Linked DNA regions of Sus scrofa. The main gene of each other region encodes a partner of the protein of the gene in region 3 in a complex. Links are inferred from orthologs where the notes say so. Each region holds a gene or a part of one and is shown on either strand. Other genes may lie near its edges.

The links.
Region 1: the proteins of MTOR (region 3) and FKBP3 are in contact, whole or in part, in a crystal structure (PDB 5GPG), measured with the Homo sapiens proteins. The link is inferred for Sus scrofa from reciprocal best matches to the Homo sapiens genes MTOR and FKBP3. Residues at the interface, in NP_001373429.1 of Homo sapiens: Glu2032, Tyr2038, Phe2039, Gly2040, Arg2042, Tyr2088, Val2094, Leu2097, Tyr2105, His2106, Arg2109; in NP_002004.1 of Homo sapiens: Lys160, Pro161, Leu162, Ser163, Lys170, Tyr198, Lys201, Gly202, Gln203, Pro204, Asp205, Ala206.
Region 2: the proteins of MTOR (region 3) and RHEB are in contact, whole or in part, in a cryo-EM structure (PDB 6BCU), measured with the Homo sapiens proteins. The link is inferred for Sus scrofa from reciprocal best matches to the Homo sapiens genes MTOR and RHEB. Residues at the interface, in NP_001373429.1 of Homo sapiens: Arg62, His69, Glu73, Ala101, Thr102, Ile104, Gly105, Arg106, Asn109, Tyr110, Arg112, Asn113, Phe140, Glu143, Tyr144, Phe147, Glu154, Arg160, Thr969, Gln973, Phe977, Lys980, Glu1010, Phe1011, Gln1014, Met1018, Ser1050, Thr1051, Asn1264, Lys1293; in NP_005605.1 of Homo sapiens: Lys5, Ser6, Arg7, Lys8, Arg15, Pro37, Ile39, Glu40, Thr42, Gln57, Ala62, Asp65, Tyr67, Ile69, Gln72, Thr73, Ser75, Ile76, Asp77, Asn79, Asp105, Met106, Val107, Gly108, Lys109, Val110, Ile112.

What each region holds. Positions count from the first base shown.
Region 1 is NC_010443.5:175,317,006-175,319,896, reverse strand, and holds the end of FKBP3 (peptidyl-prolyl cis-trans isomerase FKBP3), read left to right. Parts: intron 1-846; coding exon 847-944; intron 945-2,011; coding exon 2,012-2,066; 3' UTR 2,067-2,339; downstream 2,340-2,891. UniProt on the Homo sapiens protein: FK506- and rapamycin-binding proteins (FKBPs) constitute a family of receptors for the two immunosuppressants which inhibit T-cell proliferation by arresting two distinct cytoplasmic signal transmission pathways. PPIases accelerate the folding of proteins.
Region 2 is NC_010460.4:5,813,924-5,817,490, reverse strand, and holds part of RHEB (GTP-binding protein Rheb), read right to left. Parts: intron 1,855-3,567; coding exon 1,772-1,854; intron 1,133-1,771; coding exon 1,076-1,132; intron 962-1,075; coding exon 914-961; intron 114-913; coding exon 32-113; intron 1-31. UniProt on the Homo sapiens protein: Small GTPase that acts as an allosteric activator of the canonical mTORC1 complex, an evolutionarily conserved central nutrient sensor that stimulates anabolic reactions and macromolecule biosynthesis to promote cellular biomass generation and growth.
Region 3 is NC_010448.4:71,308,385-71,311,951, reverse strand, and holds part of MTOR (serine/threonine-protein kinase mTOR), read left to right. Parts: intron 1-190; coding exon 191-308; intron 309-3,048; coding exon 3,049-3,294; intron 3,295-3,567. UniProt on the Homo sapiens protein: Serine/threonine protein kinase which is a central regulator of cellular metabolism, growth and survival in response to hormones, growth factors, nutrients, energy and stress signals.

The sequences.
Region 1 (2,891 bases), on a different chromosome or scaffold from region 3:
TGTGAGAGGTAAGAAGAAAACTTTGAAAAGGGGGGAAGTTAAGCTTAGGCAGTACTGACCACAGCAGTTGCAAAATGGAGATGAAAAAAAAAGCTGATGGTCAGCTGCACTGAATCAGGTTGTCATGCTAGGGCCCATTTATTGTTTTACTTAAAACATCAAACGTTTATAACCAGAACACCTATTTAAATGAAGTTATGAGAACCGTTACTGTGTTATGCTTTGTACTGTTAAGTCCTAAAATATTTTTCAGTCATATCCAGAACCCAAAGTATTTTATAAAACATCTTGAAACAAAAGGTTTAGTTGAAAATAACTACAACCTGATTATACCAAGTTGCTGTATCAAACTGAGCTATTTTGCTACTTTTATAACTAACTGGCTTACTGGTAAATTTGTTCTAGTCAGCTATATATGTAATTTCCCACATGTGACAGATCTATCTCTATCCTTTGTGCTTTACGTGGTTGTTATGTTTCAACAATATCTTAAGAGTTTCAGACTGAGTACTTGTTATCTATAAAAATAAATGCTGAAGTTTATCCCTTGATATAAAAGTATAACAGATTTATGATCATTCTAGTTGTTTCCATAATGAATGACGTTAGTTTACAAAAGTGCTTTTTTACATTATATCATTTTGAAGAGTTCACATATTTACACTAAAAATTGTTTAATATGTCTAATTTTTTTATTGAGGAAATAAAAGAAAGATTTAGGGACTTAAGCAGGGACATTACTTTAGAACACAGTGAAATCTTATAACAGAATGCTTTTTTGTATGTGATTTTGCATGTATTTTTTGTAAAATATCATTAGTTTTGATTTTAAGTTCTTGCCTTTAGTGGGATGAAGCACTCCTAACTATGAGTAAAGGAGAAAAGGCTCGACTGGAGATTGAACCAGAATGGGCTTATGGAAAGAAAGGACAGCCTGATGCCAAGTATCCTTTTTCCCTTTATAATTAAAGGAAAAACACTAAGATTACTTGAAGTACCAGGTAGTTAACCTCTTTTTTAATCTTTTTTCCTTCCTATTTAAGTTCTTAATTTTCAAGACCTAAACTGAGATTTAAGTTTCTATCTTTGAAAGGCTACTCTTAATGTTTGAAAGGTTACTTCAAGGAGTTAAGATGTTCAATACAAACAAATGTAGCAAATTGTAGGATTCAAATATGATTCAGGGTAATTTTATGCTACATTATAATTTCAGGTAATTAGTTGGGTACTCAAAGCTTAGAAATGGAACACATGTTCGTTACTAGTTATGAAATGAAGAAGACCACAGGCCCAACATCATAGGGTTAGTATTTGTGATTGTACACTGACAATACTGTTCTAAGAGACCCAACCTGTAAACAAAAGAGCCATGACTCTAATACAACCAAAACAATCCAAAACCTAAGTGGGAAGGTAGTTTTTTGCTGTTGGTTCTATTCTCAGTGGACTAGTTTGGGGGTTGGGGGGCATCCTTTCTAGTCGTATCAGTTAAAATTACTTGTGCGTGTAATAGCCTTCTCAGCCTGTCAAGATCATATTGGCCAACTGTAGCTCCTTCTCTCACTTCAAGTACCTCAAGACCAATAAAATAAAAATCACTCTTTGAACTCAACATGTGAAAATTCACAGCAAATATCAGGTACTATGTTGCATGAACTTTGATTTAATATAACTTATATACCCAGCTAGATTGAAATCACTTTTTTGTTCTTTGAAGTACTAAGTAGCAGTCTTCACCAAGTAGTGGCGAATTTAGGAGTACCAGAGAGGCATCCAAATAGGGAAGATCCAAATTCAAGTTCAACTTACCTAGTCAGCCTGTACTGACAGATTATGACCTACATTCACAAAAATAGTTTTTGGAACCTCTAGGTTAGTATGTATTAGTCTCTGAATCGTCGTAAAGTTACTTACCAATATCCAATGTACATAATTCTAATTTTAGATTAAATTTTATTGGGAGTGAGGCAAGAGGCAGCTTTTATCAAATCTACCTTGACTCCTTCAACAGAATTCCACCAAATGCAAAACTTATTTTTGAAGTGGAATTAGTGGATATTGACTGAGACAGTAAAGAACAGCAACAATAAAACTGACCTTGAGAAAATTTATGTATCTTATTACAGCTGGTTACTATAAGGAAAGAGTCAACTGGAAAATTCAAGAAGTTACAGCTTGTTTACTTGATGCTCAACCTTTAAGAAATGTAATCTGTTATAAATCCTTTAAGTTTAAAATATTTTACTACAGCTGTGTAAAATATTGCCTAAAGAGAACCGGTTTTCCTTTTACCCCGTATGGTAAACTAAAAGGCTCAATAAAAATTTATTCAATCTCTAGATCTGTGTGGTATAAATGTATTAATGTTCTGATTAGGTTAACCAAGGAGTTAAGACTTCATCCAACCAGGGAGTAACAGTAAAATTGTCTGGACAGTGTTGCCAGAGATACTCATCTTAAAATCTTTACGTATTTCCGTATAGGGAAGGCAAAAGCAGAGAGTGAGAAAAAGCGAAAGGTTAAAAGGTCTAAGAAATTTTGTCAAGATAATAGCTAAATTCAAGAAAAATACACTTCAAAACCAACAAACCATTGAAGGTAAATATTAAGTTAGTATTATTAGGTGATCGCCACAAATAAATTCATAACAATTACTAGATGAGTCTTCAGTTTTATTACAAAAATGAAGATGATCAGTTTGATCAAAATGAAAGCTTGCTCACAAGTTTTACATGAATATTCCAAATACAAAGTCTCCTGAAACAACATAGTTTTGATAAGACTTTCATTTTTTAAGGGGATGCAAACATTCCATTTCCTCACTTATAATCTCTATTCCAAGACAGTATTTTAATAGGTGTCTTTTCTGCTGTTATATCCAAATTCATAAG
Region 2 (3,567 bases), on a different chromosome or scaffold from region 3:
TCAATACAATCATAATAATAAAAAAAAGTACCTGATTTTCTTTAGCAGAAGATTCCAAAAAAGCTGCATTCCAAGATTCTGCTAATGCTTTCCCTTCTTCATAACTGATCACCCTAAAGGAAGGAGAACATCTCACTTCAAGGACTCGGCTCTTTATTACATCAAACACCTGTGACTTGACTTGGGACACAGGCTCCACTTTCGCCAGTTTCTTAGGAAGCAGAAGCAAGCTCTGCTCAAGGCTATCCTGCAGGACGTAGGGCAGAGGAGCGGTTCCGTTACCCCTGAGCTGGGGAACAGAGCAGACGCCGCCCCACGGGGTTCCCTGCGCTCCAGCAAGAGCTCTGGAAGTTCGGGGAACAGGACCCGGGCACTCTGGTACCCGTCACAATTGACTCTTTCATGGTCAGCGAGGCTGTGAGCACCCAGAGACGGGCATCTCTGAAAGGGCCACAGCTGAGCCCTGCTGTGCACGGGCTGTGGGCACTCGGCCAGCGGCTCTCTTCCTCCCGAGATGCTCGGCTCCAGGGAATGGGGCCCCTGGCTCCTGGTCCATCGCTCTGAGCCCTAAGCCTGGCACTCTCCGAAACTATCTGTTGAATAAAATGAGTGCTACCATTGTCTTTTTAGAATCTGCGTTATGCAAAATGGTACAAGAATAAGAATCCAAAGACAACTGTCCTATCGTGCTTGCTCTTTTTTAGAGGAAACCCTTTCCAAGGTGCGTGAGATCTTCACTGAAGTTCTGCTTCTGCTCCGCACAAACACCGCCCCATTTCTGAACCCCCAAACACAGATATGCTACCACTAAAAATATTCTTGCTTTAAGAACAATAATTAAAAATGGAACTTCAGTGACTAAGTCATCTTAGACCTGACTTTATAAATCAGTAATTATTTAGAAGCTACATACCTTTCCATATGTAGGTCTTTCTTATTCCCGACCAACATAATAGGTATTCTATTAATACAAGGGGAAAAAAAGCCAAAGGACACAGATCAGTGCCTGATTTGATTGTTCCCGAGATACTGTTCTGAGTACATCTATCAAAAGAGCGAAACCATTATTACTTACTGCACTTTCCCCACCATGTCCAACAATTTGCCATGGATGACTTTAATCACTTCAAAACTATAAAACAAAAAGCATGAAATTAGACATTCATTTTAGTGATGCTTTAAAGCGTTTGTTATGTCATGTGTATAGTGGGAAAAACTGAAGCTGTCAGACTCACTGTTTTCCTATAAACCGAACACAAGCAATTCCTTTACGGTCTCTCACCACTCTTTCCCTCGTGTGTGTATTCGACACTCAGTACCCTTACTGACACTACTCCAAGTGGAGCAGGGGCGATATTCAAATAGGAAAGTCTAGGCTGACTGAATCTCTGAATAAGCATTTGTGGACCGTTCCTAAACGCGAAGGCTCTACGCACACGCGGTCTGTGCTCCACACTGACATGGTGAAAACAGACCCAGAGTAAATCAATTAGTGCGTTTTCCATTTCAATGAGCAGCCAAGCTCAGATGGTGTTCAATCATTACCTATCTAGGCAGCCTGAGGCAAGAGGCAGAGGTTTCCTGCCGTCAGTGTGAGAACACCTTCTGGGATCGTTTTTCCCCGTAACGACCTGCTTGCTCCACAAGACAACCCCTCGAAATCATGCAAGTCCAGCCGTAGGTACCAGCAAGGACAGCGTCATCCCTTGGAGGGCTGATGCTATCTATGCCCAGCAAGCACACTCAGGCAAGCAGGAGAAGGGAGTCTTACCTTTTGATTGATGTAACAGAATACACGAGGATATAACCGTTAATATCTATGGAGTATGTCTGAGGGAAGATGGAATATTCATCCTGCGGAAGAAACACGATCACATGTGAGCAGAGTGTTCACAGAGCATAACCAGTACCCTTTGCCCCAAGTTTCTCACATGTCACCTCATCAGAGAACTCAAAGCAAACAAAAAGTAGATTAATACCTTCTTTAGAAACACAGCCCATACACCCAAGATTGATTAAAGACTGGTGTGGGGGCAATCGCAGGCTTTAAGCCAGTACAGAGAGTGACTCTGGCTAGTCTCAGACTCCGGAGGGAAGGCTACTGTCCGTAGTAGCTCCTGGAGGGACGGAGGGATGACAAGACCACAGGCTCCGTGGTCTTGGACCAAGGGAAAAGCACCATCACATCTCTTACAGGCGACAGTCCAGTGTCTCTTAGCCCTCACAGGAGATGCACGAGTGCTCCGGGTTTGGTCCATCAATCTGTATTTCCTGCACTGAGCCATGAGGGCCTAGCCCCAGTCACTGTTGGGTTGCCACGAGCATTTGAAGAGGAGGAGAGAAGAGAAACAAGACACTAGACTCAGGCAGTAGACTCAGGCTTCTTAGGATCAAACCAACTATTTATTGAGCAACTTTAGGGATTAAAAAGAAAGGTATCTATGATGCAACAGCATATGAGTACCAGTTTTATACAGCTTTATGAAAAACCCCGCTGCTTTAGATACAGAATTATTACAGCATATAGAAATTTCTAATGTCAACTCAGTATTCAAGAGTGCCCCTGTGTGGTACACACATTTCACCCTCAGCTGAAACATAACTGTTAACATACCACACATCCCAAGTGCTATTAGAGAAAAATTACGGCAAAGCCACCACCATCATGTAACCGTCCCTGTTAACTCTGCAATTCCAGTATGGTTATGCTGACTCGGAATCGCTGCCCTAAGTATCTTACAAAAAAAAAAAAAAAAAAAAAAAAAATCAAAGAAAAGCTTTTACTATCAGCTTTGCTATTATACATTATTAACGAGATGACAGCATTTCAACATCACAGATCTTACTACACATGCAAACTAAAACTTTTGGTTTCAGTACTAGTACAACTTTCATTAAGCTGAATTCATTTAAGTGTTGATGATGAAAAACAAAGCCTTAACAGAATGACATATTTTCACCCAGATTAAATAACAAAATTCCAGGAGTTCCAGTCGTGGCTCAGTGGTTAACAAATCCGACTAGGAACCATGAGGTTACGGGTTCGATCCCTGGCCTCACTCAGTGGGTTAAGGATCCGGTGTTGCCGTGAGTTGTGGTGTAGGCTGCAGATGCGGCTCGAATCTGGCGTTGCCATGGCGTAGGCTGGCAGCTCCAGCTCTGATTGGACCCCCGGCCTGGGAACTTCCATATGCTGCAGGTGCAGCCCTAAACAAAACAAAACAAAACAAAACAAAAAAGAGGCACAGTGTAAAATACAACTAGTTAGAAAGTAAAATGGAGGAAAAAGACCCTCAACTGTAACAACAACCAAAAGAACAAAACTCCTAGGAATAAACCTAAGAAAATAAAAGTAGATGATCCATCTGAAGATAATCTTAAAATACGCCCAAGAAAGAAAAGACTTAAATCAGCGGACGAGTGTCCTGCACGCAGTTTCCAGCAAGAATACGCAGAGTCATAGGGGGTATCCATTAATTAATCCTAAATCAATACACACATATAATATAATCCTGATAAAAAGTATGCTTTCTGAGAAAAAAACAGCAATTGCAGAGGCAGGTGGGT
Region 3 (3,567 bases):
TCCCCAAAGCCTGTCTCCCCCGTGGCTGAGAATTCTGAGGTTCCCTCAATTGATTCCTGAGAGAAGGCGTAGGTATCAGCAACGCTGGCTTTTGTGCTCCCCTGACATAATTCCTTGTTCTCCTGGGGCGGGGTGGCGGGGGGCTCTTCTGAGGAAGGAGCAACATGGGGGCTTGTTTCTCTGTTTCCAGATGTTTCCTGAAACTTGGAGAGTGGCAGCTGAACCTTCAGGGGATCAACGAGAGCACGATCCCTAAAGTCCTGCAGTACTACAGCGCCGCCACGGAGCACGACCGTAGCTGGTACAAGGTAACCCAGAGGTGGAGCCGGCTGTGCTCCCGCCCCAGACACGAAGCCCCCTCAAAGCCCAGCACCTGCCAGCCTGCCTGTGCTCCCCGTGCGTTCGGGCTTTGCCGCAAAGCTGCGGGGCACTGGTCTGATACCGAGAATTTGCGTCTTTGAGTGGCCAGAGCCAGTGTGTCAGAGGCCCCTTCCAAGTCTGATGGGCGCGGAAAGATGGATAGACTTTGAGGAGGGCTCATTACCCCTGCGTAGGCGCCGGCCTGGGGCTGCTGTTCTCTTGTAGACTCTTAGCCGATTGTTTTCCTGGAGCATCTGGACACCCGGTGAGGCTCTGAAACATCTTCCCTCGGGTCGTCTGTTCCTTCCCAGCTCCCTTCTGATTTCCATCCCTGCCTGCTCCTCATCTGAGAGCTGAACTCTCTGTTTTCATTGGAAAGCTCTGGGTAACATCCTGTTAGGTCGCAGGAAATCTCTCAGGAAGATACACAGAACTGGAAAATGTACGAAGAAGTGACTGGCTGCTAGAGGGTGGTGCTTGGAAGTATGCGTCTGTGGTGAAAGCATCTCCTTTTCATTTTTTCTATCGGGCAGCCTCCTGTTAGTTCATAGCTGCTCAGTATGGCGGGTGTCATCCGTCCCTCTGGGATCAAAACCTGCATCTGCAGACCCCAAAAGCATCTGCAGTTACGTTCCTATCCTGGCTTCAGCGTGCTTCAGTCCACCGCAAAAATGCTCATCTTGTGAAAGCAGCAATAGTTAGCCTCTCTTCGAACAGCTCCCGTCCGGGGCTGGGAAGCTGTGTCCAGTGAACCCTTGCTTAGTGGGAACTTTTCTGGTTAGAACTATCTCCTAACCAGATCCCTTCTCTTCATTCAGCTTTTCAGAAAGAAACAAAACAAGAAAACACCGGCTCCAGAAATTTTAGTTTTCGTTTTCCCCTAGCACGGGCCCTGTTGGGTTTCCGCTGCCTTCCTCCCATCAGTGGTGTGCTGCAGCCCCAAGCACGGGCCGGGGCCCTTTCTGTGCGGTTCCCCATGACCCAGCTCAGTGCCTGGCACACAGCACACATGCAAGAGGTACTTGTTAAGTAAATAAAGGTAGGGGGAGTTACCACCGTGGCGCAACCAGATCGTTGGCGTCTCTAGAGCACCGGATGAGGGTTGGCTCCCTGTCCCTGCGCAGTGGGTTAAGGAGCTGGCATTACCGCAATTGCCAGCATAGGTCACAACTGTGGCTCAAATCCGATCCCTGGCCCAGGAACTCCACATGCCACAGGGCAGCCAATAAAGGAAGAAATATATATACATGGGAAAACCAAACCGCGGTCGTTGTGGAATTCTTATTTACCAAATAGAGGTCACTTACGATCACTCTGCTTAGGTGGGAAATGAACAGTCCTATGTTAAAGAAAGATTTTTAGCAAGGGACACGAAGGAATTTACTGATGATGCAGAAAGTCCAGCTGTGAGTGGCCTATTTAATGTCTTACTCTCACTGCAAACTTATAAGGTCCCAAATCTGACTCTTCCTCGTGCCCTGTACACCAGGCAGTGCTGTGCCACAGCGTCCCTGCAGCTCAGAACCTCAGAGCTGCGATCCGAGTTAGCCCCAAAGGCTTCTTGCAGCAATCGGTCACTGAGCGCTGGCTCTCTGACAGGCCCCGGCCAGGAGCAAGGGACCCACAGTGACCGAGACCCAACCCTCCCTGGTGGTTCTGTGCCCCCAGCCAGTCCCTGTCCAGCTGTCATCTGGCCTGGTTAAGACCTTCACCCTCTCTCCCTGTACCTCTGTTCGAATCATCTGTTTTATATCAGCTGCCAAAGGAATCTTTCTTATTTATTTATTTATGCTTTTTAGGGCCGCATCGTGGCATATGGAGGTTCCCAGGCTAGGAGTTGAATCAGAGCTACAGTTGCCAACCTGTGCCACAGCCACAGCAACAGCAGATCCCAACCGCATCTGTGACCTACACCACAGCTCACAGCAACTCCAGATCCTTAACCCACTGAGCAAGGCCAGGGATCGAAGCCGCTACCTCATGGTTCCTAGTCGGATTCATTTCTGCTGCGCCATGATGGGAACTCCCAGCCACCAAAGGAGTCTTTCAAAGCCAGCTTCAAACCCATCTGAAAAAGCTCTGCTTCCTACAGAATGAAGTGGCACCTCCTTGGCCTCACGTGCCAGCCCGTCCCTGCTCTGAGGCTACCGCTTTGCTAGGCTTGCCCTTCCCTGCTCTTGGGGACCCTGTACCCTAAGCTTCAGTCACACCTGACTGTTCCCTGTGCTTGCCCGCCCAGCACTCGGTCCCTGCTCTTCCTCTGCCGGGACACCCTCACTGCTGCCCTCCCTCTTCCCCCACCCCTGCCCACGGAAGGTTGCTCAGGCCCCCCCATCCCTCCTCCCTGTGACGCTTTCCCAGCCCCTGTCCCCTACTCGATTAGAAGGTCCCTGAGGCCAGGACCGTCACCTGCTCCTCTTCATGAGCTCCTGCCCCATGGCACCCACCACAGACCTGATCGAATCAATGCCCCACCAAATGAGTGAATCGCACTGGGTTTGGTAAAATGGCCCGTTCTCAAGGGTGCCATGGAAGCAAAGATTTGCTCTACTGACCGCTGAGAAGACAGGGCAGTCTGTGATCTTCCTCAGCTTTGGCCTGATGCTCAAGGCCCTTGATGCCCAGGGCTCCTTCCTGCCCCTACTATGGCCACAACTGCGCTGTCTGTCCTCTCGCCCCTGCCCCCAGGCCTGGCACGCGTGGGCAGTGATGAACTTCGAAGCTGTGCTCCATTACAAACATCAGAACCAAGCCCGCGACGAGAAGAAGAAGCTGCGCCACGCCAGCGGGGCCAACATCACTAACGCAGCCACCGCAGCCACCACAGCGGCCACCGCCACGGCCACCAGCACTGAGGGCAGCAACAGCGAGAGCGAGGCCGAGAGCACTGAGAACAGCCCCACCCCGTCTCCTCTGCAGAAGAAGGTCACTGAGGTACCCTCCCTTCCTCCTCCATGAGGGCCTGAGCCAGGCAGCAGGCGCTCTGCGGATGGAGCCCTCATGGGCTTATAGGAGCCCGGGCTCTGCCCGGATGAAGCTCGGAGACATGGCTCAGCCACCGTCCAGCACTGCGTGAGACGGTGCTTCTGTGCATACACTTGCCTTTGGGGAGCTGGTGGAGGCCGCGCTGAAAAACGAGGTCTTTGTCAGGCTTCCCACATGCGCAAACCCCTCCCCTGGTTCCTGCACGCGTGGGCCGGCTCTACA